Neurospora crassa OR74A: one gene and its partners. The protein of the gene in region 3 purifies or fractionates together with the protein of the main gene of each other region. This does not show direct contact. Links are inferred from orthologs where the notes say so. Each region holds a gene or a part of one and is shown on either strand. Other genes may lie near its edges. The genes, in order: NCU00050, tca-7 and NCU02407.

Evidence for each region.
Region 1: the proteins of NCU02407 (region 3) and NCU00050 purify together in Saccharomyces cerevisiae (affinity purification with mass spectrometry; 3 studies listed by BioGRID). This does not show direct contact. The link is inferred for Neurospora crassa OR74A from reciprocal best matches to the Saccharomyces cerevisiae genes LPD1 and PDX1.
Region 2: the proteins of NCU02407 (region 3) and tca-7 purify together in Saccharomyces cerevisiae (affinity purification with mass spectrometry; 5 studies listed by BioGRID, with this or other methods). This does not show direct contact. The link is inferred for Neurospora crassa OR74A from reciprocal best matches to the Saccharomyces cerevisiae genes LPD1 and KGD1.

What each region holds. Positions count from the first base shown.
Region 1 is NC_026503.1:2,408,984-2,419,047, reverse strand, and holds NCU00050 (pyruvate dehydrogenase X component), read left to right. Parts: upstream 1-3,321; 5' UTR 3,322-3,665; coding exon 3,666-3,726; intron 3,727-3,830; coding exon 3,831-5,050; 3' UTR 5,051-5,837; downstream 5,838-10,064. Other genes in the region: NCU00051 (hypothetical protein), read right to left, coding at 1,110-2,210. UniProt on the Saccharomyces cerevisiae protein: Required for anchoring dihydrolipoamide dehydrogenase (E3) to the dihydrolipoamide transacetylase (E2) core of the pyruvate dehydrogenase complexes of eukaryotes. This specific binding is essential for a functional PDH complex.
Region 2 is NC_026502.1:1,592,840-1,602,939, reverse strand, and holds tca-7 (2-oxoglutarate dehydrogenase E1 component), read right to left. Parts: upstream 7,353-10,100; 5' UTR 7,335-7,352; coding exon 4,292-7,334; intron 4,231-4,291; coding exon 3,689-4,230; 3' UTR 3,085-3,688; downstream 1-3,084. Other genes in the region: NCU05426 (WD repeat protein), read left to right, coding at 1-918; NCU05423 (hypothetical protein), read left to right, coding at 9,314-10,100. UniProt on the Saccharomyces cerevisiae protein: The 2-oxoglutarate dehydrogenase complex catalyzes the overall conversion of 2-oxoglutarate to succinyl-CoA and CO(2).
Region 3 is NC_026507.1:2,604,500-2,614,447, reverse strand, and holds NCU02407 (dihydrolipoyl dehydrogenase), read left to right. Parts: upstream 1-4,667; 5' UTR 4,668-5,135; coding exon 5,136-5,194; intron 5,195-5,281; coding exon 5,282-5,334; intron 5,335-5,406; coding exon 5,407-5,486; intron 5,487-5,573; coding exon 5,574-6,278; intron 6,279-6,353; coding exon 6,354-6,971; 3' UTR 6,972-7,411; downstream 7,412-9,948. Other genes in the region: NCU02405 (hypothetical protein), read right to left, coding at 1-182, 355-433, 516-539; NCU02406 (nuclear protein), read left to right, coding at 965-1,034, 1,124-3,813; NCU02408 (fatty acid desaturase), read left to right, coding at 8,122-8,381, 8,512-9,948.

The DNA of each region.
Region 1 (10,064 bases), on a different chromosome or scaffold from region 3:
GTCGGCAAAATAAAGCGCGATTTTGAGAGGGGAGGTGGGGGTATTTGGAGTCGTCGAAGGACATCCTGAGGGGAGAGAGGATGGTGGAGGATCGATTATGTGCGTTTCCAAAAATCCTTGGCGGCTGAGCGTTGCTTTCCATCATGACTTGTAGTGTTTCAAGCCAACAAATCAGTAGGCAAGGTTAGCTAGAAGAAGTCTACCATTTGTCATAAAAAAAAAGAGACAAACATTCGGTTCCGTCAGTATAGTGAAGGAGTGACACTTCAAATGGGTTGAGGTTTATATGTAAAGTTATTGCTACCTAGATACTGTTCCTCACTTCGGAAACGGATGTTGTTAATGCAAAGAGCGAGATTTTGTCCGCCAAGCAACTGTGATCTTCTCTAACTGTATGGTATAGGCATATGTAAAGCCCATAAAACCATAACAAGGGACCTTGGCGCAGTTGGCTAGCGCGCAGGTCTCATAAACCGTATGATCTGGCTTAACGTCAGAGTAATCCTGAGGTCGGGAGTTCGAGCCTCCCAGGTCCCATGTTTTTTGCTTTCTTTTCACATGAACCAAAATGATTCAAATTACTTGAGCTTTAACATCATATTATCATTAGTTTCTTTCTGCGTTCGGTTCCTTCTTTTTTTCCCTCCTATGTTTGCTTTCTGCATGGATAACTTCCAGCCTACCCAAGGTGGAAGGAAGAACAACTCGACACCCATTCATTTGGGCACAGTTTTACATACAATATTTGCTTTTTGAGTACAAATCTTCGCTAGTGGTTTGCCAATCATATAGCCCCCAGCTTGAAAACATTTTGATCTGGGCTTCATGAACAAATACTTGAAGGGGCAAGCGACTCGAGACACGCTGCCTACCTTCGTCAAAGCCTTGGAGTCAGCAGCTTTGGACACACTCCCAAGGTATTGATCCTTGGAAGTTCAACTTTCCATTCCTTCGTCTATTTGATTCCATACCATCTGCGTGTTATTATACATATGTTGATGCTACAGTAGTCTATACAGAACGATATCGTGTCCTACGAGTCACGGGGGCATACCTAACCGCAACCGCAACTCCTTTCGCTCCCGGCTCACCTTTCCAAGCACGCCCGCTCAATACGCGCTAATATTCGCACTCGGCTTGACATGGACCAACCGATCAATAGCCCTTCCATCATCCAGCGCCCATCCAGAAGTCATATCCAACTTATACTCCACGCCCCTCAGATAGACCTTGGCAAAGCCCTCACGGTAGAACGACCTCCTGAGGCCATCATACGCCCCGCGAAACACTTTCGCCGCGTCCCTGAACGGCAGGGTGAGCAGATGCTGCATCCTTTCCTTGCGCTCCTTCTCCCTGGCAGCCTTCTGCTTGCTCGCCGCAATGATCTGTCCGGTCTTGGTGGTAGGGAAATTCTTGCCCACGTTTTTCTGCGCGCTAAGGGTGTTCAGCTTCTCGCACAGCAGCTGCATGCGGAAGGGCATCTCGACCTCGGAAGGGTGGTAGTACTCCTTCTTGTTGGGCAAGAAGGGGATGGCGCGGCTGTAGGCGACCTCGAGGTAAATCGGGGTAGGGGTGGTGACGGGAACGGCCTTGGGCTTGCTGGTGAGGAGCTCAGCCCATGCCTTGGACTTTTTGGTGGAGGCCGAGGCTGCGCCATCGGTGATCTGGGAGACCACCTGAGAGGCCGGCACGGCCTCGATGTGCCGGATGATGCGCCGCAAGCCCATGAAGAAGTAGCCGCCCATGCCAATGGTCATGGCGCAGATGACGCCGTAGGCATAGGGGACCCAGGTGGACAGGTCCGCCGGAGGGTTGAGGTGGACGCTCCAGTAGTTGTAGAGCGAGTAGGCGATGCAGAAGCTGCCGGTGGTGAAGCTGGCGAAGCGGAACCAGGCGTGCGAGTGAGCCTCGTAGAGGAGGGTCCGGCCCTTCTTCGCTAGCTGTTCGGCATATGAGGCGGGGACCACAGTGGGAGGAGCGGTTACGGTAGTGATGACAGTGGATGATGAGGTCGGCTTCTTTGCTACCTTCTTAGCCTTGGAGGCAAAGAAGCGTGCCGTTTGGGCGGTGCGGAAGCCGGAGCCGGAACCGGAACCGAAGACCAGGACGAAACGTGTTACCGAAGCTTGAGATGCAGTCCTGGCACATGGCGCCGTGCGGTGTGCAAGCAGGACGAACTGGCTGCTGAGCCTACTGGAAATGGAAGCCATGGTGCTGTGTTGGATGACGGGCGGTAGTTCTGTACGGCGCCGGGGTAGCTGCCGGGGGACGGAGATCGGCAACGGAGTTTATGTGGATTTGAGGGCGAGCGGCTCCGGTCCGGGTCCTTGTCAGTTGACGGCGGGGAGGGGAGGGAAACTGGATCACGGTGCGGCCCGGCCACCTGCTGCCGTTTCGTTGCGTTTCGGGGCTTGTACGTACACTACAAAACCGTTCGTCAGGTTATCTTCGGACCCGGCCCCGCTCCCAGGTCTCGAATATTTTAGCGGATTCCCCTCAGGAACTCGGTCCGCAATGGAGCTCCGCTGGTGGGGACCGGTTCTTGGCTGCAGGGGAGAATTTGGAGGCCGAAGACGGGGGGGACGGTGAATGGGGGCATTAGAAAATATGGGTCTGATCACGTGCCAAGTCGCTTTTGGTACCTTCTCCATACCAGCTTGTAATTACGTCCGCGAACAGCCGTCAATACCCGACTTCTTTGCAAATTACCAATTAGTATTAGGGTTAGTTAGGGTTAGTTAGGGTTAGTTAGGGTTAGTTAGGGTTAGTTAGGGTTAGTTAGGGTTAGTTAGGGTTAGGGTTAGCTCCGGGGGTGCAGGGGGCCGGTGAGAGGCCCCCGCATGTGAATGTGAATCGTTAATATTGACATATGTCAACCATATGCCGGCCATATGTTCTGTAATTACGGTAATTATACGGGTGACTTTTGATACCTTCGGCTTAAGGAAAGTGGAGTATGCACGGACCAGTCTAATGCCCCTAATCACCATGCCCGAAGACGGGCTGACGGGGGAGGACATGGATGTCCCCAATCCTTGCTGACTCTACACTACAGTAGCGCGAGGATGATGACAACCCCGGGCAACTTCCATTGAAATTTGGCTCCAGTTTTGACTGTAGCGCGCGTCCTGCGCAGAGACAGCTGCTCGGGTGCTGCACGCCAGTGATGTGTGGTGAAGACGTCGCCCAAAAAAAAAAAAAAAAAAAAAAAAGAGAGGTTCGTTGCCCAAAGAGGTTTGGGGACATGGGGCGGTCGCGGGGGTTCATCGGAGGATTTGGAGGGTGGTCCAAGCTTCCCACGGTCGTTTCCCCAACATGTCGCTCATCGACCCTCATCAGCATCCACAAGCTGGCGACAGCTTTTTCTGGGTTGGTTCCCGTCCGTTTTCTGTCGCCGCCGGGTCCGCAGCCAGACTTCTTGACAGGAAGACAAAAAGATCCACTGCCCGCTGCCCATCCCGTCGACCTCGCGGTGGAATTTAGCATTGAACCTGACTCGTTTGACATACGTCAAGCATAAGGCTCAATTGGAGATCCCCAGCAAGCAGCAACCACGAACCCCATTCTCGATTTCCTTGCTGGAAACCACCATAGCCCTATCGCGATATCCACGTTGACCAGGCATTTCACGTCTTCGTTGCGACAACACCACATAATCATCCGCCATGGCTTCGCTAACAGCAGCTTGTCGCATCTCTGCCAGAATGGCAGGGCGCTCCGTCAGAGGTCGGTTCTCTCGGCTCCCGTCACCTGCCCGTCAACATGATGCCCGCTTTAGGTGCCTAGAAGGTCATCACTTGCTGACTTGGAGCAACATGCCATGTAAACAGGTTTCCGTACCTCTGCCGCCGCTCTCGCCGCCCAAAACTTTACCATGCCCGCTCTGTCGCCGACAATGACGGAGGGCAATATCGCGACCTGGAGGGTGAAGGAGGGCGACAAGTTCTCTGCCGGTGACGTGTTGTTGGAAATCGAGACCGACAAGGCCACTATGGACGTTGAGGCGCAGGATGACGGTGTCATGGTCAAGATCATGAAGAACGATGGCGCCAAGGGTGTTGCTGTCGGCGCCCGGATAGCTGTTATTGCGGAGGAAGGAGATGACATTAGCTCTCTCGAGATCCCAGCCGACGCAGCCCCACAGTCCAAGCCAGCCGAGTCAGCACCCTCGGCACCTCCCCCACCGACCACCGCGGACCAGTCTAACGTTGCCGTCCCCGAATCCGCTCCTCAGAATGCTTCGTCCAAGTCGGCTCCCAAGCCTCCGAAGAGGCAATACCCCCACTATCCTTCCGTCGCCCATCTCCTCAAGGTCAACGGCATTGACGCCGCTGCCGTTAAGGATATCACCCCAACCGGCCCCGGCGGCCGTCTGCTCAAGGGTGACGTTCTTGCTTACCTTGGTAAGATTAACGCCCAGACGCCGTCCACCGTCTCCGAGAGGTTCGAGAAGCAGTCGCACCTCGACCTTAGCAACATCAAGGTTGCCAAGAGCACCGAGGCTGTCAAGGCCACTACCGAGAAGGCTCAGTCCAAGAAGCTGGATGCTCCCGCTCCTCCTCCCGTAGCTGTTGTCACCGCGCCTATTTCTCTGTCCGCCGCCATCGATGTTCAGAACAAGCTTCACAAAACCATCGGCGTCTTCCTCCCTCTTTCAACCTTCATTACCCGTGCCACCGAGATCGCCAACCAGAAGCTACCCCTTCCCGCAAACTACCAGCCTACTGCCGATGAGCTCTTCAACCAGGTTCTCGGTCTTGACAAGGTCACTCGCAAGGAATCTCGCGGCTCCTATACTCCCACGTTCGGCTCCTTCGTGGCCCCTCAGCGGGCAGCTCGCAAGGCTGATATCATCGATATTCTCGCCGCTCCCTCCACGCGCGTTGCTGCTTCTGCTCAGAGCAAGTCCGCCGCCCCCGGATTGACCACTTCTGGACCCAACGTCTTCAGCCTTCAGGTACCCAAGTCGGAAGAGAAGAGGGCCCAGGCCTTCCTTCAGAAGATGAAGCTTGTTTTGGAACAGGAGCCTGACAAGCTTGTACGTGCCTAAAAAAAACTTAATGATCTGTTCATTCTTTTTCATCCTGCGCTCCCTCAATTGCCTTTTATAGAGAGGGAATAAAATGCACATAATGCACATGGGGTTTACTTGCTTGACATATGTTGGTATTGGATTGTATGGAGTAACTTGTTAGCACTAGACTTCCACTTTTATGGCTTCATGATCTAGGTTCTCTACTCTTAATGTTCGGGAGGACAACATGCGCTTATGTGCGGACATCCTGGGCATTTTTTAGTCGCGTTTCAACCGCTCGAATAACCGAGACATGATTGCGTTATGGTTGGCGTGCCTTTAGCCCATGAGCTCTGTGCTCGACGGTAAAGTTCTCCGCTCGTATGGAGGGATTTGCCAGGCCATGTTTCGGTCATTTGATCAGCTCGTACGTCCAACCGCCATGCAGCTCCTGTTCATGAGCAGGTACACTGTGACCTGATCTTCACAGGTCATCCGTCAAAAACTCGAGGTACGGGAGGAAAATGATTCAGTTCGAACTCGATGTTGATCAACATCATAAGCCAGGCCTCTGTCACACAGCGGTAAGGTATATTGTATCTTGGGCTATAAGTTTTTCTGGCCGCCAAGTACACTGGAAGACTTCATGGCACATAAGTGATAGACCTCCGTAGAAGAAAGAACCAGCTTTTTTAATCATTTCTCTCAAGGTCTGCCACTAGAGCCTTCTGGAGGAGGCTGAGATTGAACCACACTATGTGCATATAGTGTAGGCCTCATCTCGTTCGAGACCATCCATCAACTCATCATGTATTCAAAATAGAGACACTTGACAGATTAATTCTTTCCCACAAAAGACACTCGAGCCTCGAATTATCTGAACTTACTATCTCAATACGGTAGAGGTGTCCATACCACCAGGACCTTCGTAAAGAGCCATAAAGAGCCTTACTGGATGAATGGTAATGGATCCTGTTTGAAACCACATTGGGGCACTCAGTCCGAAAACACCTGCGGCGTGTACCAAAAGCATTCGTACCCCTAGGGGAGATTGAACGCTAAAGCCATTTCCTGGTATAAGCCGAGTGAACATTTCCCACCCCACGATGAATTCCCAATGATTGCTATATAGGCCCACCACGTCTACTACACCTATCATCACATGGTCTGGTCCGCAATCACATATCCCAATACATCCACTCGTCTCATATGAGGTTATACTCATGCCTCCTACATCTCCAATCACACCCCCGCTTTTACTTCTACCTCCTCGCCTCTCTTTTTCCCATATACCCATCTTGTCCAATCAAGCACTGACCATATCGTTGTTTAATATTCCAAGACCAATTTACCGACGTCTAGTCTCCAGGCTATCTTCGGGTCGGGCACCCAGGACCCTCGATGAAGATCTTTGATACCTACCTTGGCCGGTTTGCCTCAATCCGTAATCAGTTGGCCTGATGGGGCAAATATTGGGAGGACATACATGTACCTGAAAAGCTTTCTGAATTTGTGTGATGGAGACCATGGGATATGTGGTATGAATATGCGGGGACGTTAAAGTGAGTGAGGGGAGGAAGGCAACGAAGGGGAGAACCGTGTTCGGCGTCATGGCCTCTATATCTTTGATTCTTGAATATGAGCCAAATGCGTTGATGAGCATTCTGCACGGTTGAAACGACCCGAAAGATGAGTCCAAGTTCAACTGTGGGAAATTGCAAAAGGCTTCAATGTCCTGTTGTGAGTAGCTCTGGATCCTCAATCCTGGGACTTTCAAAGCCCTCAATCTTCCACTTTAGGTCCAAGCCCTTCCTAGATCCTCCGCTCACTTACATCCAAGAATAATCTGAATAAGTCTCATGTCTCCGCATCTTTGAATCTTCTCCAGATCTGGAACTGGAAACGGTAACCATCCGCTTCGCGAGGCTTCAAAGTTCAAACTTGGTCTGACCGAACCCCCATGTACAACTCGATTGAAACAACTTCAAGACCATGGGCCGCGCGGCTTGTCTTAGACACTCGTGGATAACAAATGACTTGGAAACGGTTCATCTTTTCCATTTACACCTAAGGCTGCGTTTGTTCTCGTACGGCTTTCGTATAGCGCTTGAAAAAGCTCAGTTCACTCAACTGGGTAGCTCGACTCAACTCAACCCAACTAAACTCAATTCGATATTCCCAAGGCGAGTTCCAACTTCTCTCTGGACACGGATACTTGATGACGTGGCCGCCTTTCCGAGTATTGGAAACATCGCACATGGCCCTTTTTTGCACGAAAACCGTACCAGATCAAATTAGATCAAACACAGCCTAAGTTGTGAATTGAGGAGATACCTAAGTATATGGCATCAAGGGTTGTAAGGCACAGCTTTCGATGAAGTCTATACTTGGCTAGGTTAAGATTGCATACACTAACGAGTAACGAAGCAAAGTTATCTGATGTAATCCTCGCTGTTCTTTCAATCAGAGTAAAATTCGTTAACTTTTCCAGAAAGTTTCCGGGTTCAGGTGTCGGTAAGAGCCAACGTCCACCTACAAATGAGACCTAGAAGCCCGCAGAGAATAGAAGTAGACGCACAAGAAAGGACATACTTACCTGCAGGATTTTCAGAACCCTACAACAGAGTCATCAGGTGTAACAAGCTGTGACACAAGTCACGACATGCAATTTAGTCGGTGCATAAGTTTCTGCCATACACCTACCTGGGATACCCCTATGTGTGAAGCTTCAAGGTCAAGCCATCCGACCGGGGACACATCAAGCCAGTGACATAAGACCGAAAACCAAACCACAACAGTTAGCAGGATAAGATGAGACGAGATGCAATGAGATGAGACCATACTCGGTTCATTATCAGACCGTTGCCCCGCATATGTCGGTGATGTCAGAAGAAGCTTTGTAAATCTACCTGGGATTAGCATGTATTTCAAGATGTTTGATCTGCCGACTTTGCGCCGCAAGTCTCTTGGTGCTACTTTGAACCTTCTTCGGACACGCGGGTGAAAGAAATATATTGTTGTTGGAGTGCCCGGTAACTTCGGATGATTTTGTTGATGACGACTGACAAAGATGAAGCAGGATAGGACTCCGGAGTTTGAATTTCTCGTTCAGAATATCGTTACTTCCAGACTTGAAGTTAGGTACGCAACCAACACAAGGCGATATCTCACTAGTTAGGTATTGCAACAGTACAGCCTTGTGTGCGTAATCTAGAATGAAGTGTCATATGGGAAGGTGAGTTGTGTGTAAGTGTAAGCCTGTATCTACGCTCCGTATAACTCTTTCTTCACTTTGTCGTACAGTGCCGACGTGAGTGTTGCCTTGCCGGCGTCCCACGTCCCATATCAAACCGAAAGGGATCCCCCGACTTCGGCAAGCCGGTATTTTCCTATTCATGGTTGCTTTCCGTGATACCGGCGATATCCTCTCCATTGTGAAACGTGAGTCTTTGTCCCTTGGCAATATCAATGGCGGAAAGGGTGCGGGAAGAAGCGAGACAGCGTCATCTTCGGTTTAGGGTGAGCACCCTTACCTTGCCTTACCTCACTTCAGCCTGCGGTCCCATGTCAACGGTCGATGTAGGCATGTGTTGTCTTGACAAAGAAGATGATGGCATGGTGCCAGCTACTCCCGGTAATCGTACGTTATGGGAGTGGAATCCAAGGAAAGGCTGTCCATTATGGGCGTATTGTGTGATATGCGTTGTTTGTGACGGATTCTTGGCACTCTGTTGTCTTTGTCCCGCGGCGACGACGAGAAGGCTATAGAGCCTCAACTACCATCCTCTAGAACCCTATCGTCCGATACATATGGCCATGTGTATGCGAGCCAAAGAGGTCGTTGCGTTCATGTATCAAGGGACAGCCTTGTCCGGCAGATTTTGATAGCGCTGTTGAAACTTGAACCAAATGATCGCTAACGAGGCGAGCGAGGGTCTATAGATCCCACATAGAGCCTACGTAGTATCCATTCGTGTCGCAATACTCTAGGTTCTGTCGGTATCGGTTCAACTGTAAGTCTGGCAAATTACAATATGAACCATAGGTACGCTTCACAGAAACTGGGCATGTCAGACAACTCCTAGAAAGACAAGAGGAATGGAATACTGGACGACAGAACCGGAAAAAAAAGAAGACGGAACGAAGTTTGAGCCTCTCCCATGACCCCGGAGCCCGCTACATACACCGGGTGGTTCGTGCACCCTCAAGTTGCATTAACCAAAAGGGTGCTAGCTCAATGCAAGAAAGGCCTCACCCACAAAGCAAAAGGGAAAAGAAACCCACTCGCATTGTCTTCCTGCACACACTTCGCAGAACATCCAGATGCGATGCTGGCACCCATACTCACCAACCGCCATCCTCTGTCATGCTCTTTACACCCTCACACATGGGATGATGCGCATTCGGGACGAGACATTCCCACCACCCTCTTTCACCATATCTATGGCATAGTGTACATCTAGCGATTTGAGCGGTGAGCAGGTTCGAATTGGCGTATCATAAGCCACTGAGACTCCAGCCGTGTGCGTGAGTGTGGGGGCTGGGGCGCAGGGAGGAGAGGAAGCGGGGGGCAGAGAGAGGGAAAACAAGCAAAATCAACAAAGGGGAGGCTGTCCGTCCAGATCCGCCGAGCGAACGAAGGAAGAGATTTTTCCCACGGGGTAACAGAAAATGAAGCAAGGGAAGGGTGGTTTCGGACGGGTGTTGAAGAAAAGTCCATGCCGGCCGTCAAGGTGCATCTACGCAAAAAAAGTGGGGTGCTTTTGCTCGGGCGCGTGATACCGTTCGTTCGTCTTGGTTTTCCAGGGCGACTGACGAGGAGGAAAGAGCAAAATCCGGATCGAATCAGATGAGGATTGTCTCCATTGATCAGTCCAGCGAATGTCCAGTGTCCATTCAGTCGCGAGCGAGAACAAAACGGAGGACGGAGGAGGACATTGAATGACTCTGGAGCCCCATGTGCTGGGAATCCTTGCTTGTTGCGCAATCCCCATCATGACTTGAGGAATCAGCCGCCCTTGGCGCCCTCGCAGACGTTTTTATGGCCTGG
Region 2 (10,100 bases), on a different chromosome or scaffold from region 3:
TACTCCCCCTCGGGTCAGTACCTCGCTACATGCTCTAGAGACAAAAGTGTGTGGATCTGGGAAGACGTGGGGAACCCGAACCCGTCTTCTGAAGAGGAGGACGAAGAAGAGGAAGACGAAGACGAATGGGAGACGGTAGCCGTACTACAAGAGCACGACGGCGACGTCAAGGCTGTGGCCTGGTGTCCTGACGTGCCCGGCCGCAAGGGCAAGTACGCGCCGCCGAGAAGGTACGGGGATGACGTTTTGGCGAGCGCTAGCTACGACAATACGGTGCGGCTGTGGAGGGAGGATGGAGATGGCGAGTGGGTGTGCGTTGCAGTTCTGGAGGGGCACGAGGGTACCGTGTGGGGAGTGGCGTGGGAGGGGAGGCCGAGGGAGAACGACAAGTTCCCGAGGTTGTTGTCGTGGGGCGCGGACGAGGTGATTAGGGTTTGGAGTCTGAAGGAGCCGGAAGAGGAGGAACATGGGGAAGGTGCGGCTGGTGGTGGTGGCAACAACACCTGGGGATTTGGGGTGCCGAACACCATGCGCCGATCCCTCAAAGAGGAGTGGGAGTGCACGGCTGTATTGCCCAAGGTGCACAAGGGAGATATCTACTCGGTTGCGTGGAGCACGGAGACGGGGCTGTTGTCCAGCGTGGGAAGTGATGGTGTTTTGGCGCTGTATCAGGAGACTGCCAACACCACAGAGAAGAATGAGGAGAACGAGACGAACGGCGAGGCGCCAACAACAACGTCTGCTGGTGGTTGGAAGGTTCTCACCACCGTCAAGGGCGCTCATGGACCATACGAGATTAACCACATCACTTGGTGTAAGCGGTACGATGCGGGGTCGGAGCGCAAGGGCGAGGAGGAGATGTTGGTCACGACGGGTGATGATGGTGTTGTCAGGCCTTGGCAAGTTAGGATACAATGAGAGAGGAAGGGGGTTTGCTGAGGGTTATCTTGGGGGGTTACGTTAATACTGGAAGTACAGTTTACGGACAAAAGAGATTGGACATGTATCAGGGATGCTTATTAGCACAAAGAAGAGCGATACATGCCGGCTGGAAGTTATGATACCCCTATATAAAATCGATATAGGACTTGCCACACTGCCTTTTCCACGTCAAGTTGTCAACGGGAAAGTGACAAAATACGTTACGATGAGTCCACCGTGCTGGATATACTCTACCCATTACACGATATTCACATGCCCCGACCATTTATTTCTTTCACTCTCTCCTACAACCTTCTTGTGTCCATCCGGCTGGGACCACGAATACCGCCTTATATCTGCCACACAATAAGAGATATAGTACAGAATCCATCTTTGTAATACAGGAGAGCTTTGCACTGGGATCGTCAGGGAAGCACGACTCGAACTTTGTCAAAACTTCCCAGTTTCCATGTTGCTATTTCTGATGATACATATCCGCCATCTTCCCAGCTCGTAACTAAGAGGCTCCATCCTATTCCGGGCTACCGAAAGACTGAGAGCTCCTGGCTACTACATATCAAAGTGCACTGTGAAGGTACTTTACGCCTATTCCTTTTGTAGGGAGGGGAGCCAGCTAGCCGTAAGATAATCAAAACGCCATGTTGATGTAGCCATGTGAAAGGTTTACCAGTGACTTGATACCACCAACCTTGATGAAGAATGGTTTATACTGTTAAGCAGCTGGACATCTCTGTGACACACTATAGTTGATGCTCGACATCAGCACCAACGCTATACAACCTGCCAGTGCAGGAGGTAACCATATTGTTATAATAACTTGAGCACGTCCAGTCGGATCTCACAGATGTTGAACGTGGGATTCACGAACACGAACGCGGAGGATAGGTAGAGGGAGTAGTGACGCCATTCCCAGTTCCTCCATTCAATGCTTCCAATATAGCAACCCTTCTTCGATCACGAGTTGGCTTGTTAGTATACTTACTTCTTCTCACTACCTACCTACCCAGAAGCATATGTACCGTATTCGAAGTACAGTTGTACATCTTTTCAGTTCAAGCAACTGTCTTTGTGCTTCCTTACTTACCTGCGCCTACACTATTTTGAGCGAGGAGGCTGTTCCGTGACCGTCTAGTCTAGCCGTCTATCTCTCTCTCTCTCTCTCATTTCGATCTTATCTTCGTAGTAGACCATGAATACCTACCTATCAACCAATCGCCATCTTTCCTTTTTCGCATGTCTACTATGTAGTTGTACATACGTAGAGGTATCTTCTTTCAGGAGCTTATTGTAGTGTACGTTTCCTGTCCTATTACTACCTCCATCAATGTTACCGTTCGTGGGGCTTTGCAATCCATTACATTAGTGTAGTGTAGTGTAATGTACCCAGCTGCGTTGGCCTCGTTTCGTTTCGTTTTCGGTCTTTTTGGGCATTGCCATATGGCATATGGCATATGGCATATGTATGGCAATGGCAATTGGCCGACGGACGCCCGGATCATCAATCAATCACGAAGCGGCCGGCGGCTCTTTTCGTCTCGTGTCGTTTCGTTTTTTTTTTTTTTTTTTTTTTTTTTTTTTTTTTTTTTTTTTTTTTTTTTTTTTCGGTGATGTCGGGGATTGTCTTGTTTACTCCGCTCGGTTCTCCGCGCCCACAAAGTCCGTTCGTTCCCGTCGTTCTTTAAAACGCTTCGACGCTTGTCCTAGCGGTCGGGTCTTTCGGAACCACTCGGGTAATAATCCCTCGCTCGCTCGCTCGTTGACACGGTGAAAGTTTTTCTCCACAAGATGGGGGTTTGAACCCCCCCTCATTCATCCATTGCCATCATCCATTCTGCCACTTTTTTGTCTTTTGTGCCTAAGAAAATGCCAGGTGTGCTGGGGATTACTGTACATATTTCAGGGAACTGTCCCCCGGCGAGGTGATGAAAATTAAAGTACCATGATACCTTTGTGATACGGTATGTTCGTATGTCTTGTAAGTTACACGATCGTCAAAGCTCTCAACTACTTGTGGGGAGGAGCTTCCGTTTAAGTGCCAAGGGAGCTTACCTACAGACGCTACCCCGTTCTCGGGTATTAGTGCAGTGCAACTGTCCACATCATATAGCGGCCTATCAGCCGCATCAAGTTGTTGAGATAAGGTGAAAGTGCAGCGTAGATGGACGTAGTGTATCAGTTGGGCTGCAAGATATGTAAACGCTATCAAGATCTCGTCAGTCCGATCTGCGGATAGTAGGAAGGTGAGGATGATCTCCGGGGTTACCGGACGGTGCTACCCCCTTGTTGATCCCCCCTTTCAAAGGGACAAACAAGTCCACCAAAGTAAACAAAACAAAGCAGGTCACTTGAGATCGAAGCTGGAGAATGAGATCAAGCTTGAACAATCATCGAATGAATGTATTGTTGTGCAAGGAGAGTAAACATTTGGTATCACATCCATTCATTATTTCCAAAAACCCAACAACCCAGGTATGCAGTGAACAGGAACCGAATACAGATACAATTATGAACAAGAGAAAAACACCATGTAGTATTCGTCAGTGAAGGGAAGAGGAAGAACAAAGGAAGAACACCTTCCCATCCCAAAACCAATAAACACTCTCTATCCGCCCCGAAATCCCGTCCTTATGCACGCGCATCCATAATACACAGACCTAGGTCTCCGCCGTGTTGGTGGTTGTTCGACTTTTGCTGCTTCCTTTTTACTTTGCTTTCTTCATCATCGCTATCTCTTCCGACACACCCTTTACTCGCCCTTGAGCTTGCTCTGAGTAACAGAGAAAGCCATGTCGACAAGCTCCTTCTCCTCCTTGACGTGAGAAGACTTCTTGCCAGTAGCGACAGAAGCGCTGGGAGCACGACCAGCGTACATGACGTGCTTGCGGTCATGGTGCTTGGTGTGGTTGAGAAGAGTCTCAAGACGAGGCTGGGTGTAAGACCAGGCACCAGCGTTGAGGGGCTCCTCCTGGGCCCAGACGATGGTCTTGGCGTTGGTGTACTGGTCGAGGTTCTCACGGAGCTGCTCCCAGGGGAAGGGGTGGAGCTGCTCGATACGAGTGATGGCGACGTTGTCGATCTTGTTGTCCTGGCGGTGCTTGAGGAGAGCGGCATAGACCTGACCAGTGCAGAGAATGACACGCTCAATCTCCTCAGGGGCCTTGATCTCACCAGTCTGGTGAGCAGAGTCGGGAAGGATCCAGCGGAAGTGGGCGTCGTCAGTGAACTCCTCGATGTCGGAACGAGCAACGGGGTGACGCAAGAGCGCCTTGGAGAAGAAAATGACGAGAGCTAAGTGACACAAAGTTAGCATTTTGACGAGATACGTGCTAGTTCAACCACGGAAACTTACGCTTGCGGAACTGTCTCTTCAGCTGGCGGCGGAGAATGTGGAAGAGGTTGGCAGGGGAGGTCATGTAGGCAATCTGCATGTTGCAGTCCTGGTGCTGACGTTCAAGCTTCTCGGGGGAGGGGTAGATGCGAGGATCCTCGTTGCAAAGCGAGAGGAAACGCTCCATACGAGCGGAAGAGTGCTCGGGACCCTGGCCGTCATAACCGTGGGGGAGAGACATGACGAGGCCGGTACGCTGCATCCACTTGCTCTCACCAGAGGCAAGGAACTGATCAATGATGACCTGAGCAGTGTTGGCGAAATCACCGAACTGGGCCTCCCACATGTTGAAGCCGTTGGGGTCCTGGAGAGAGTAACCGTACTCGAAACCGAGGATACCATACTCGGAGAGGGAAGAGTTGGAGATGACGAAGGGGGCCTGGTCCTCGCTGATATGCTGGAGAGGAATGTAGGTGTCTTCAGTCTCCTGGTCGTGGAAGACGGCGTGGCGCTGAGAGAAGGTACCACGCTCGACATCCTGACCGGTGATACGGACGTGGTGGCCCTCCTTGACGAGGGTACCAAAGGCAAGAGCCTCAGCGGTAGCCCAGTCGATGCCCTTGCCCTCCACAACGGACTTGGTGCGGTTGGTCAGGATACGCTTCAGGTTACGGTGGGCATGGAAGCCCTCGGGAGTGCTGCCAATGACGGTACCAATGTGCTCAAGGGTCGGCTTGTCAACCGCGGTAGGCATGTGGGGGAGAACCTCGCTAGCAAGCTCCTTGGGGCTCTTGAAGTTGTTCCAGGCGCTGGTGGTCCACTCCTTGGAAGTGGGCTGGTAGTCCTTGGACTTGGAGAAGCTCTCCTCGAGCATGCCCCAGACCCACTGCTTGTGCTCCTCGATGTCCTCCTTGGTGAAGGTGCCCTCCTTGAGGAGCTGGTCAACGTAGATGTCGATCTGAGGGCTCTTTTCGCTGATGCGCTTGTACATGAGGGGCTGAGTAAAGGCAGGCTGGTCGGTCTCGTTGTGGCCGTGCTTGCGGTAGCAGACAAGGTCGATGATAACATCCTGCTTGAACTCGGCACGCCAGTCAGAAGCGAGCTGGCAGACGAAGTTGACAGCCTCGACATCGTCAGCATTGACGTGGAAGACAGGGGCGTCAATGGCCTTGGCGATATCCGTGCAGTAGGCAGTGGAGCGGGCAAAACGGGGGTCAGTGGTGAAACCGATCTGGTTGTTGACAACCAAGTGGATGGTACCACCGGTAGAGAAGGCGGGGAGGTTGTGGAAGCCCAAGCACTCGTAGACGATACCCTGACCAGCGATGGCGGCATCACCGTGGAGGAGGACACCCATGGCGCTCTTGTGGTCACTCTCGTCGTTGTTGTAGTGCTGGATGGCGCGGACCTTGCCGAGGACGACGGGGTCCTCAGCCTCGAGATGCGAGGGGTTGGCAACGAGGGAGAGCTGGACGCGCTTGCCCGAGGGGGTAGGGCGCTCGAAGTTCATACCCAAGTGGTACTTGACATCACCGGAACCCTCCTCATCGGCACCGGCCATGCCGGCGAATTCGGAAAAGATGGCCTCGTTGGGCTTGCGGACGACGTTGGAGAGGACGTTGAGACGGCCACGATGGGGCATACCAATGACGATGTCCTTGACGCCGTAGTCAACGGAGCGGTCGATGAGGGCCTTCATACCAGGAACAAGGGTCTCGCAACCCTCGAGACCGAAACGCTTGTCGTTGGGGTACTTGGTGGCGAGGAAGGACTCGAAGCTGGAGGACCAGATGAGGCGGTCGAGAATGCGGCGCTTCTCATCGATCGAGTACTTGAAAGGCTGGGGGATCTCGAGACGCTCACGGAGCCAGTCGCACTTCTCCCTGTCGGGGATGTGGATGAACTCGACACCATAGGAGCCGCAGTAGATCTTCTCGCAGGCGTCGATGATCTCGCGGAGCGTCATCTTCTCGCGGCCATCGCGGGCGAAACGGGGGAGGATGCCGGGGCCGAGGCTGTACTCGGTGTCGAGATCCTTCTCGGTGAAGCCGTAGTATTCGGGGGTGAGCTCCTTGGGCCTGATGTTGCCGAAGCCCTTGGAGGCAGGAGTGTTGCGGATGCCCAGAGGGTCAATGTTGGCCTTGTGGTGACCACGGGCCTGGTAGGCGCGGACGAGGAGCTGGACCTTCAAGTGGTTGGTGACGTTGGCACCCTCGCCAATGCCGACGCCGGCGCCGGCAGCGAGACCGGGCACCACGTTGGCGGCACCGGGAACCAGGCTGGGAGGAGGCTGGAAGGCCTGGGAGATGGGCATGTTGCCGCTCTCCATGTTCTTGAAGTAGACCTGCCACGAGACGTGGACGCTCTTGGGGTCCTGCTTCCACTGGAGGTACATCTCGTCGATATAGTTGGCGGCGCTGCCCGAGAGGAAGTTGTCGTTGGGGTCGGGCGGGCTGTGGAGGGCGCTCTCATGGCGCCTCTGCTGGGAGACGGCCAGGGGACGGCGGCCAACGGCGGGCTTGAGGGAGGCCCTGGTGGTCTGGGCGACCTGGGAATAGCATCGTTTTGAGGCGCCTGCGGTCTGCAGGGCCCGGATGGAACCGCGCAACATGATGGGTGGCTGTTGTGAGGTGAGGGTATTAGGACGCAGAAACCGAAAGCGCAATCCAAGCAGCGGGGTTTTGTTTTGTGTGTACAATCTGGAAGAGGGGAGATTTGGGGGGGGGGGATGCGCAAAAGGCAAAAGGAGCGGCGGAGTAAGTCTAGGTCTCGGTCGTCGTCGTCGACTCTTGAGGGGGGGAATGGGGAGAGAGGGGGAGAGAAGACGAGAGGATCGAGATTTGGAGGGGAGGGGGACGACAGACGTTGGTGTTTTTGATGTTTCGTTGGTGTCGGGGGAAGGGGCGGCGGGAATGCAGCGACGGAAAAAAAGGGCCTCACTCTGCCCGCCGTGCAGGTGCGTCGAGTTGCTCCGTCCACTCACTGGAGTCGGGCGGTCGGTCGACCTGTCGGTGCAAACTGCAAGAGCGAGCGAGTGCTGCCGTCCAGCTGTGCTGCTGTGCATGCCTGCTGACTCCCGTTCTGCCCGCCCTGTGGAATTGACAGAACTAACGAACTGAATTGAGTGGACTGAAGTAGCTCGTACAGTGAGCATCAAGGCATCTGCACGGCTCTGTGGAGGGGACGATGACGGCACTTGCTGAAGCACAAGTGAGGCTCCCTCCCCCTCGGCTCCCGCCGTTGCGCCGCTACAAGCGCACTCAGTGCAGTGCGCCCTGGATGCTTCTCTTGGCCATAGCTTTAACATTGTGGAGCCGGCGAAACTGGGTGGAGCTACCCAGCTTCTCGCACTGGGAACAAATACATCGAAGACGCCCGGGACCCAACAAACTTGAAGGGGACATCAATGTGAGATTCTCTCGGTACCTCCATAGCCGCAAACTCGCCTACCTTCAGTTATTTACTGCTCAGTCTGCTACATACCCATACGTAGTAGCGTACACAATGGAATACACGAAGAGATATCATATCCATCATCTACTCGAATCCGTCCTCCCTCTTGTTGTTTGTCCAAAAGTCACGACGGAGTTCACGGTTCGAGCGGTGACCACGGTAACAGCAAGCATAACCGGAAGTCGTGGAGTTTCTGTGGTTTCAAGGAGGGGGACGGGAGCTGTGTCTCCATGACAAGTCATCGGGCACGCAGCAAACTGGGAAAGTGTGGAAGAGCTGGAAGTTACGGTCTGGAGAGTGCTACTGTAATTATTTCATTACGCATTGGCTCCCGCACCTCCCGTCGAGACTGGAGTTGGAGGCTCCGAGACCTGACCCGAGTCCCTTTTCCCCGGAAATCACGGTTCCCGTCTTTTTGGACCAAGTATCCAATCTTACCGTGGAAAGTGGGGAAAACTTCCATGTCCGAGGTGGAAATGTACGGTAACGCTTTCGGTCCCATCTTTGAGCGCGAACTTTTCGAAGCTTTCGCTTGGGGCATCGAACTGATGGAACTGCGCTAGACATGGTCTGGTCGGTATCCTGGGTTATGGGTTTGGGTTCAATTAGCTACTTGGCACTGACCGCCTTGTGACTTGCCGTAGTATCATGTGACTTTTGCAAAAGTCATTTATCAAATCCATTTTGTCAAAGAAGAGACAAGCGAACCGAGTCTAGATCTCGTCTCGATCTCGTCTCGAGTGGTTTATCGAAATGACTTTGAGGTTTGGCTGTTGGTTTCGATTGTGTAATTCACTACAAAATCCTGCATCGTCAGCTGCCACCTTCAACTTCTTCTTCATTATTGAGCCAGTTGCAGCATTGACTGCACGTCACAGTGTTAAATCCCCCAACTCTCATTGGCTGGCCGTGACTGGTTCGCTGCAGTGCAGTTGCTGTTGTCCAAGCTCTGCGCTGGCTTCAGATCCTTGGCATTTCCCACCCACGGCACCTGCAGCAGTTCGTCGCCCAGAGCTCAGGTCCTGTGGTGGCCAGAGATCCGACCTGGGTGGACAGCTGCCGTGACACTGTCTGTCGGTTCAAAGTGGAACCTTCCCGAGCTGAAACCTGAAGTTCAAGTTCTTTACACTAGTTGAACAGCCCCAGGGCGACCATGGAATTGTTAGTAGTCGTGCTCCACTGCAGCCTCAGCTGCCGCCTGCCTGCCTGCCACGCATAAACTACCTACTACACTATGTAAACTCACCACCCACTCACCATCCCGCAACGACATCCGCAGCAGCCAATGCCTCACCCCGGATTCAAGACTGACGGGACCTGGATTAGATTTGCTTGGCGTTACTACACTACATCACCACGTCCATCATCGTCTAATGCCGTGTACCTTGACGACTCTCCCGTCTCTCTTCGATATCAGTAAGGCGTAGTACACGAGCACGCTGTGACATACGTATCGCGTTAATACATCCTTGTCAAGGAACACATTGCGAGGCTGGTCCGTCTTTATAACATCAAAAGATTGGGAACTGGGCATTGAGCGTGGACTTGAGATATTCAACGGGCGGTTAGGGAGAGGACTACCTAGCCAACATGGCCCCGATTGAGATTCCCCGGGGACAGGCCTCTTACAAAAAAAGAGAGGGCATCATCACATTAACCCCAGACAAGACAGCCCTGATATGGAGCCCCTTGCCGGGCACTGGCCCACCCGTCATCTCACTTTCCGTATCCAACATCACAAACCTCCAACAGACCCCCAAGACGAATCCCAAGGTCGTCTTGAGAGTCGTCGAGAAACCCAAGGCGCCCGGAGCCGATCCGGCTGCCTATCCCTTCCAGTTCACACATGCCACCGAGGCCAGGAATGAGGCCGATGCCATCAAGGATCTTCTCTCTCAGATCATTGCTGAGCTTCGTGGCGATGACCCTTCTCTACCCAAGCCGGCAAAGTCTGGCCCCAACGGCGCCGGCGCCTCTGCCGCCATGGCCATGGCCAGTGCCGTGAACTCGAAGCATTTGCCGTTTCGCTGGTTCGAAGACGACATGCTAAAGGCCGATGTAGAACTTCAGCAGTCCCTCATGAAGAAGGATAAGGCCTTGGCCCATATATATAACGACGCAAAGCTGTCCAAGCCAGATTCATTATCAGATGCCTCCTTCAACAGCCAGTTCTGGGCCACCCGCATCAGCCTGCTACGTGCCTATGCCATCGAGCTGAACCAGAAGAAGGGCTCATATAACGTCCTATCAACCATCAAGCCCCGGACCGAGAACGGCGAGCTCAAGTTGAACATCAACCATGAGCAGGTCCAGCTCATCTTCCAACAACACCCACTGGTCAAGCGCATCTACAACGAGAACGTCCCCAAGCTCACAG
Region 3 (9,948 bases):
GTACCTCCCGTAGAAGGTTTCCAGGTCGGCTGGCTCGACAATGGTGGACAGCTTGACCTTTTCTGTCCTCTTGTCCTTGCCCTTGGCGTTGGTGGCGCGGATGAGAACCGGGAGCGGGGTGGCAGGGTTGAGGTCAGTGAGAGGGTCGGTATCCGTGGATTGGGAAGGGGTGCTGTAGGATACTGTGGGAGGGTTAGCTTTGGTGACGGAGCTTCACTCTACTTAGCTCATCGTGGGTGGATGGAGATGGAGTTTAAGCTTGGAAAACAGCGGAAATTGGGAGGATTGTCGTGACGATAGCAAAGCCGAGTGTGAAGTTTCCTGTCTGCGCTGGGTTGGTGTAGGTACACGTACGCCTCTTTTGTACTAGGTTGATGGTTCCGTGATCTTGGTTCTTCCTATACTCGAACAGATTGGTGAGCTTGGAGAAGAACTATATACCATAGTCGGTTGAAGTCAGATTAGCATGGTCTCCTCAGGACGGGATCACAGCAGCCAGTCACATATAACATTACCTCATCGTGAGTTAAATGACCCATGATATCCAGTTGTTTTTCGTCTTCTTCTTATGCTCGTTTGCAAAAGGCAAGACAACAATTCGGCTGAGGAGTGAATGTGAAGGCAACCTAGAATGATTGATGAAAGTCAACGAGAGTGGCAGCTTTCCCCACTGCTGTTGGCCGGGCAGCTCCCGTCTGTCTGGTAGGAGTGAGCTTCCCCAGCGTAAAACCAGCCGGGTGGGGTCCCAAGCAGCGGAGGACCCGCTTCATCTCTTGGCGCTCTTGGCCCCGCAGTCGACATGCCTGGAACCCTGCACCGACCGATAACCAAAAAAACTATCTGATAACGATAGCAAGGTCCCGATCCCGCGCTCTTCCATGCAGCGACGGACGAGAGAGCCTTGCAAAGTTTGGAGGTCGTGCCAATCAATCACATCTACACCTCCGCACGCGCATATTACAACATGGCACCCTCCATGAGGATAAAGGCTCCAAAATTGCCTGACAACCTCCTGAAGGAGCTCGGCGTAGAAGGTGAGCGTGCCTCCGTTCATGCGCCCATACAGCCATTGTCATTCCTGCCTGGCAATCAGGGTTCTCCGACGAAATCCTAACTCTTGCAGGACAATCTCACGGAGGTCGCAAGAATCAATTTCAGTCTAGAAAGGATCGCCGTAAAGCAGAGAGAACACAGAAAAGGATTCACCGCACCTCGTCCACAAGAAGTTACCATACCGAGCGCGCTACAGCCCCAAAACCACAGAAGAAGGTCGATGCCGCATCGTCAAAGGAAGCAAAGGAACCCAAGCCCATCTTGAAGAACGGGAAGAAACGATCATTGGAGGATGAGGATGAAGATGTTGCCCTCGAAGAGGACGATGATGAGGATTTCGATGACGAGGGCGATATCGATCTTGACGAGGACGAGGACGATGAGCTAGACCTCGACGAAGAAGACGACAAAGACGGCGAAGACGTGGACGATGAAGAGGAAAGTGATGTCCCAACACAAACCATATCGAAGTCGCAGCCCAAAATCTCAAAAACTGTCATGGAACGATTGGCGCAAGACGACAAGGAGATCGCAGACCTCGAAAAGAAGCTCGGCATCAAGGGACGCAAATCGCTTCCCAAGTCCTTCCAGGAGGATGGTCTTCTTGATCTACTAGAAGGCCTTCCTGGCGTAGACGACGAAACAGCCGAGAAAAGGAAGCGGAAGTCCGAAGCGGATGAGTGGCTTGCGGCGAAAAGGAGGAAAGCGGAAGAGGCCAAGAAGACGAAGGAATTCGAACTAGACGAGGAAGAAAATGAAGTCTCCGAACTGGACGAAGAGGACGATGGCTTGGACGATCTCTTAGAGGGATTGAACTCGGACGAAGACAACGACGTTGACCAAGACGAAGACATGGTCGAAGGCGATTCTGATGAAGATGGAGAAGAAGACAGCATCTTGGGCGAGGATGAGGGGGATTTTGGAGGATTTGACGAGGACGACGACGAGGACGACGACGAGGACGACGGCGACGACGACGAATCCGACAACGACGAAGAAACGCTACAAAAGCCGCCAGAACGGGTCCGCGAAAACCCATATGTTGCGCCTACAACTGGGCGGACTGTAGTGAAATACGTGCCACCATCGAAGCGACAGGAGGCGGGCTCAGAAGCGGAGTTGGTGGCCCACATTCGCCGTCAAACACAAGGTCTCATCAACAGGATGACAGAGTCTAATCTTTTATCCATCATTATGGACTTTGAAAAGCTTTACCGCGACAACCCGCGACAACATCTTACGTCGAACATTGTCGATCTCCTACTCATTCAGGTGTGCGAGCCAACGACGCTGCCTGATACGTTGCTCGTGCTTACCGCGGGTTTCGCTACGGGTATCTTCAAGGTGATTGGCATGGACTTTGGCGCACAGTTAATTCAAGAAGTGATCGAGCGATTTGATAGGCATTATGAAGAGGCCAAAGAGGCTGCAAAGGAGCGGCCAGACGTGCCGAAACAGACATCCAACCTCATCACTTTCCTATCCGAACTCTATAACTTTCAACTCGTGGGCCCTAACTTGCTCTTCGACTTCATTCGAATCCTTTTGGGTGATCTTTCGGAGCTGAACGCGGAACTTTTGCTCAGAATTGTGCGCATTGCTGGCCCAGCCCTCCGACAAGATGACCCCATGTCTGTCAAGGACATTGTTACCCTTATCCGCCCGGCTGTTGCCAAGATCGGAGAGAAGAACCTCAGCGTCAGAACTAAATTCATGATTGAGACCATCAACGACCTGAAAAACAACAAGATGAAGACGGGTTTAGGCGCTTCCGCCGTTCTCACGGAGCACACAACCAAGATGAAGAAGCTTTTGGGCACCTTGAAAACCATCAAGACGGCCGAGCCCTTGCGAATGACCCTTGCCGATATACGCGATGCCGACAAGAAGGGCAAATGGTGGCTTGTAGGCGCTAGCTGGGCAGGCAGAGATAAGGACAGTGACAAGAAGCCATTGACCCAGGACGGTGTCATACAGGATAGCGTTGACTCGGACGACGAAAGCTTTGTCTTGGAGGATGTCGAGGACATGCCTGACCTCGGAGAACTTGCCAGAGAAAACCAGATGAACACGGACGTGCGCCGGTCCATCTTTGTGTCGATAATGTCCGCCACGGACTACGAAGATGCCTACTACCGCATCCTCAAGTTGCGCCTGAACAAGGAGCGACAGAGAGAGATTCCATACGTGGTCATCCAGTGTGCCGGCGCAGAGCAGGTCTACAACCCATACTACACCTTGGTGGCCAAGAAGCTTTGCGGGGATCGCAAAATCCGGTGGTCGTTCCAAGACGCGCTCTGGAAGCTATTCAGGCGTCTCGGAGAGTCAGTTTTTGGCGATGACGCGGAGGATGAGGAGGATGTAGATGCGATGGACATGCGGCGGCTTGTCAACATTGCAAAACTGTTTGGGGCCATGGTGGCAGGTGGATCGCTAGGATTGGCAATTCTGAAATGCCTCAATTTGCCTTATCTACAAACCAAGACGCGGGCGCTAGTGGAGATCCTGCTGATTACTGTGCTTCTTGAAGCCGGAAAAGGCGGCGACAAGGATCGGGATGAGACGATTACTTCGGTGTTTGTGGCTGTGGAAGGGGTCCCCGAGCTTGCCAGAGGCCTGCAATGGTTCATCAAGAAGGTGGTCCGGAAGTCGGATCTCGCGGGAGGGGCGGCCAACACCAAGCTCGTCAAGGAGGGTTGCAAGACGGCCATGGCGGCCTTGGAGCATGCGCTGCTCGCCGCCGAAGGCTTGGTGGAATAATTTTGCTTTGTTGGATACCTGTATATGGATCGGATATCTTCGGGAATAGCAACATAATGATCAGGGATACAAGTGTGCCGGGGTCTATACAAAAGGCCATTGACCAATATCATGACAAGTTCATGGAACTAACCCAAGCATTCTCGCTCGAATGTAGTTACCTACTTTGTAGATATTAGCGTTGACGGCGGGACTGGAAAAGTTGGGGGTAGCTTTAAGTTGGGGAACTTGTTGTCAGGAAGGGCGATTTGCTACTAGGGATCCAGGGAGCAACCGACTCGAGTGTGCGGGAGCCCGGAAATATAGTGGTCTGTGAATAGCACTCAATGATGTCATTTCGTCTTGCAACGAAGGGACAGGGTTTCATGAGGGTCGGGCGGGACTCTTGATTGTGGACATGAAGAGGAGGCAGATGGTTTGAGATGAATTGCCTGCCATGTGTCATGTCGTTCGACAAACAACTAACCTCTAAGACGGGTTAGGGACAGGTTATGCTTCTCCAATTCGGCAGCTGGGCAAGCTGGGGTTATTTGGCGTTGACGGGCGGAGTAAAGAGGGGAGCAAAGAGGGGATCGCGCCAAGGAGCAAGATGAATGTCAAACACAACCTAAGCTGTCAGAAAAATGGCTACAATACATAGCGGGAGTGCAGAGATGTCAAAATTTTGGAGTCAGCTGCTGCACGCCAAGTTCGTCTTGACCAATCACAGGACGCAATGGAGCGTACCTAGTACCGTACGTATTTGGGGACGGGTTTCTTCGACGAAGCAGTCAGGGCAGCAGCGACAGTAAAGTAAGACGGCGAAGAGCGCGCTGCCCGTCCCGCCTAACACTGGCATCATAGTACTTTTACTTCCTGTAGCACACTACCTCTACACTACTAACACGATCAGGCAGTACCTACCTACCTATTTAGTGTAGCGTACGCGAGATTAGAGGTACCTACTACCTACCTAGGTAGTGGTGTTCCTACTCCGCTCCGTTCGTACCTACCTCTACCTACTCCGCTCTGCGCTGTCTCGAGCGGGCCAGCTTGGGGACGGGCACGGTGGAAAGCGGGTGCCCTTTGAGCGATGTGAGCCTCTGACGGGCTGGCAACCCGAACAAGTGGGACTGGACATTTTTCGCTTGCCGTGAATAGCTTCCGCCTCGAATCCCAACAATTGTCTCTCCCGCGGCGTTTTGCAGTTCAGTACACACTTTCGACGTCTCACCATCGAATCGCATTCCCTGCTTCCCCGGGCATCTCTCTGCAGTGCGCTCGTTCCTTCGAATTTTCCCTGTTTCCATTTCTGGTTTTTCCATTCAGCACATACTTTCACCATGCTGTCCCAAAGATTAATAGGCCGTGCTGCCGTCCGGTCCGCCTTCAAGCCCTCGGGGTAAGCTCACTGTCCCGGTTGCCGGCGGATGCCCGACACACTGTTTTCTCATGCGCGTACTGAGGCTGACCTGACGACCACATACAGGCTCCCTGTCGTCGTTTCTCCCAGGTTGAGGAGGACCTATGCGACCGAGTCTGGTCTGTTTGCCAACATCAAGAGCTGGTTCTCGTCAAAGGATTCTGGTCGGCTGACTGTTGATGTGCCCGTAGAGGAGAAGGATCTCGTCATCATTGGAGGTGGCGTCGCTGGCTATGTTGCTGCCATCAAGGCCGGCCAGGAGGGTCTCAAGGTGCGTCGCATCGCGAATCAACTACACCGCAACACCGACGAATGACGACAATATCTGACTGCTATCTCCCATGTTGCCTGGAAATAGGTCGCCTGTATCGAGAAGCGCGGCACCCTCGGCGGTACCTGCCTGAACGTCGGCTGCATTCCCTCCAAGTCGCTCCTCAACAACTCCCATCTCTACCATCAGATCCTCCACGACTCGAAACACCGCGGCATCGAGGTCGGCGATGTCAAGCTCAACCTCGCCCAGCTTATGAAGGCCAAGGAACAGTCCGTCAGCGGTCTTACCAAAGGTGTCGAGTTCCTCCTGAAGAAGAACGGCGTCGAGTACATCAAGGGTGCTGGCGCCTTCGCCGATGAGCACACCATCAACGTCAAGCTCAACGACGGCGGCGAGACCTCCGTCAAGGGCAAGAACATCCTTATCGCCACTGGCTCCGAGGTCACCCCCTTCCCCGGCCTCGAAATCGACGAGAAGCGCGTCATCAGCAGCACTGGCGCCATTGCTCTTGAGAAGGTCCCGGAGAAGATGCTCGTCATCGGTGGTGGCATCATTGGTCTCGAAATGGCTTCTGTCTGGTCCCGTCTCGGCGCCCAGGTCACCGTCATCGAGTTTCTCGACCAGATTGGCGGCCCCGGCATGGACCTTGAGGTTGCCAAGTCCATCCAGAAGATCCTGAAGAAGCAGGGCATCAACTTCAAGACCGGCACCAAGGTCGTTTCCGGTGACAAGACTGGCGAGACCGTCAAGCTCGAGGTCGACTCCGCCAAGGGTGGCAAGCCCGAGACTGTGAGTGGCCCATGATACCCTGCAGGCTATCTGTTCGTTGTCGTGATCTTCAAAGCTGACATTGTTCGAACACAGCTCGAGGGTGACGTTGTTCTTGTCGCTATTGGCCGCCGTCCCTACACCGAGGGTCTCGGCCTTGAGAACATTGGACTCGAGAAGGATGAGCGCGGCCGTGTCATCATCGACTCCGAGTACCGCACCAAGATCCCCCACATTCGCTGCGTTGGTGATGTCACCTTCGGCCCCATGCTTGCTCACAAGGCTGAGGAGGAGGCTGTTGCTGTCGTCGAGTACATCAAGAAGGGTTACGGCCATGTCAACTACGGCTGCATTCCTTCGGTCATGTACACCTTCCCCGAGGTTGCCTGGGTTGGCCAGTCCGAGCAGGAACTCAAGAAGGCTGGTGTTCCCTACCGCGTCGGTACCTTCCCCTTCAGCGCCAACTCCCGTGCCAAGACCAACCTTGACACTGAGGGCATGGTGAAGATGATCGCCGACCCCGAGACCGACCGGATTCTCGGTGTCCACATCATCGGTCCTAACGCCGGTGAGATGATTGCTGAGGGTACCCTTGCCCTCGAGTATGGCGCTTCCAGCGAGGATATTGCCCGCACCTGCCACGCTCACCCTACCCTCGCCGAGGCTTTCAAGGAGGCGGCCATGGCCACTCACTCAAAGGCCATCCACTTCTAAGCAGCTGGAGCGTTTTGGCGTTGAATGGCTCTAAGCACGGAAAAATGTGCTGTCTGGATTTCTAGCATTGGGAGTATGGAAAGAGGATGGGAGGAGGTGTGTACTTGTACTGTAGTCACGGGCTTTCCCTCGAGGGTTTAATAGGGGATTTTCACATGACATGCTAAATAGACGCCGCTTGTTGGTTGGACTAGGGCTATTTGGCCTTGCGGGTCCTGGTTGGGCTCGAGACTCGATGAATACACGAGATTTTAAGAGATACAGAAAAGCTACCTTGGTTGCCAGATGGGATGGCAGGAAGGCTGCTGGTTATTTTATGTTAACATTGCCGAGTTATCAGAGGGCTGTGGGTTTTGGATGATTCTTGTCTGTTCTCCATGCTGGTGCAATTACTTCTTAGTCCGAGTAGCAGTGCCCATCAATGCCGGTCTTCAACTTCGTTCTGGTGTTAATGTGTATTCTCGTGTACAGGGCATGTTGCTTGGCATGACGTTATTTGTTTGATAAGCCATCGCTCAGGGACCCTAACCCTCTGAATATCCTTGGGACCCTTTGTTCTATTCTTCCCCTATGTTTCAGGGACATGCAGGCAGTTGTTACCCTGAACACCCAGGGTCCAAAGACGTCGTTGGCGATCAGCAATGTGGTTTAATTTCAGACGCAAACGTTGGAGTGGCAAGAACCCTTGCGTGACATCTGGTATTGTATGACCCCTATGTGGTGCAGCAAACGCCAAGCGGGATAGCCTGGAGCTGGCAAGCTGGGTAGACGCGCCTGTGTGGACAGCGGTGAGGTTTCCACTCGGTCAACCCCTCCAGTAGGAATGATCTTATCCAATGTCACGTCGTCCCATGCCCGTTGTTTTGGGTAGCCATGTCCACTGCCTAGGAACAGCGCCCGCATCAGAATCGACGTATCGAACCACTCACCAACCTCTGTGGCCCTATCCGTCCCACCTTCAAACGTCCACCCACCTACTAGTATCAACACCTTGGATCTCTATCAAAACTGACCTTGGGTTTCCTGAACTGTTGCGAGGACAACACCACAACCTTTCCCTGTCCACAGACGGCGGGTGTTTTGTTCCATCCAGTAGCGAATCCCTCCATCTTTTTCGTTCAAAACACAACAGTCTTGCGCAAAGACAACAATGGCTTCTAAACCCCCACCACCATCACGCGCCGCTGCCGAAGATACCGCAACGGCTCAGCAGTCGACAGTTAAGACAGCAGAGCGGACATATCCCTTCATTTCCCGCCGTGAGATCGAGGCCTTGATTTCAGAAGGTCGCCATATCATCATTGTCGATCAATATGTCCTGAAGGTAGACGCTTGGGTCAAGTATCACCCCGGAGGTGACAAGGCCATCAAGCACATGATTGGGAGGGATGCTACCGATGAAGTGAACGGGTGCGTACAAAACACAATATCATGCACCAACCGCGACAGTCTGGATCCAGTCCGGTGTATAGTTATCGGACCCCGGTGAAGAAGGAGATGCTGACTTCATAGCGTGTACTTTTTTTTGGAATCACTACAGGTTACATTCCCCAGAAGCAAGAGCTCAGATGAACAGGTACAGAGTGGGTAGGATATCAGGGAGATGGAAGAATTTCTTGCCGCCGATACAAGGAGGCAAGTTCAGGCCAAGAGGAGAAGAAGGTGAAGAATGGGAGGAGGAGTCCCCAGAAATCAGGGCCAGAGCTGCGAACTACGATGAGGATACTAGCTTCGGATCGTCATCATTTGCGAGTCAGGCTGCCTCTACTGAATCCGAGAGCTCACGGACCCCTTCGCCCGCCCCTTCCCCGGTCTTTGATGATGGAGAATCGGCGCCGGAATTGAACCAACTCCGCGCCCGTTCTAACGCCCGGTCAAAGTCGGCTGTAAGCCGATCCGATTCCTTCACCTCGATTTCCTCCATTGAGGATGAGAAGGCCAGTGCCAAGGGCGCCGATGGTGGCCCTAGGGATGGCATGGCCCATCTCGACGCTCTAACAAGGCAAGAGATCAGGCTCGATCTCGACAAGTACCCTCCGCTCGATGAGGGAACGCAAGACACCGTCATCCGAAAGTATCGTGAACTCAACGAGCGCATCAAGGCGGAGGGACTCTATGACTGCAACTATGTTGCTTACGCCATCGAAGGATTCCGCTATACTCTCCTCTTCTGCGGGTGTCTTCTGTTCCTAAAATGGGGTTGGTACGTTCCTAGTGCGTTCTGTCTCGGCTCTTTCTGGCACCAGCTAGTCTTCACTGCCCATGACGCCGGACACATGGGCATCACGCACCATTTCCATGTCGATACTGTCATCGGCATCATCATTGCCGACTTCATCGGTGGTCTCAGTCTAGGTTGGTGGAAGCGCAACCACAACGTTCACCATATCATCACCAACAGCCCTGAGCACGATCCGGACATAGAACACCTCCCCTTCTTCGCCATTTCCCATCGTTTCTTCACTAATCTGCGGTCCACATACTATGACCGTGTCATGGAGTACGACATCTTTGCCAAATTCTTCGTCTCCCTCCAGCACTACCTCTACTACATCATCATGATGTTCGCCCGCCTGAACCTCTACCGTCTCTCGTGGGAGTACTTACTCAAGGGCCAGGCACCCAAGCACGGTCCTGCCTGGTGGCACCGGCATCTCGAGCTTGTCGGTCAGGTCTTCTTCTGGTGCTGGTTCGGTTATGGGATCATGTACAAGGCAATCGATGGCAACTGGAACCGCTTTGTTTTTTTCATGATCTCCCACGCGGTCACCAGCCCGTTGCACGTGCAGATCACTCTGTCACACTTCGCCATGTCCACGTCTGATCTGGGCCCTCATGAGTCCTTCCCGCAGCGCATGCTGCGCACCACCATGGACGTCGACTGCCCCGAGTGGCTTGACTTTTTCCACGGCGGCCTCCAGTTCCAGGCCATTCACCACTTGTACCCGCGCATTCCTAGACATAACCTTCGTAAGAC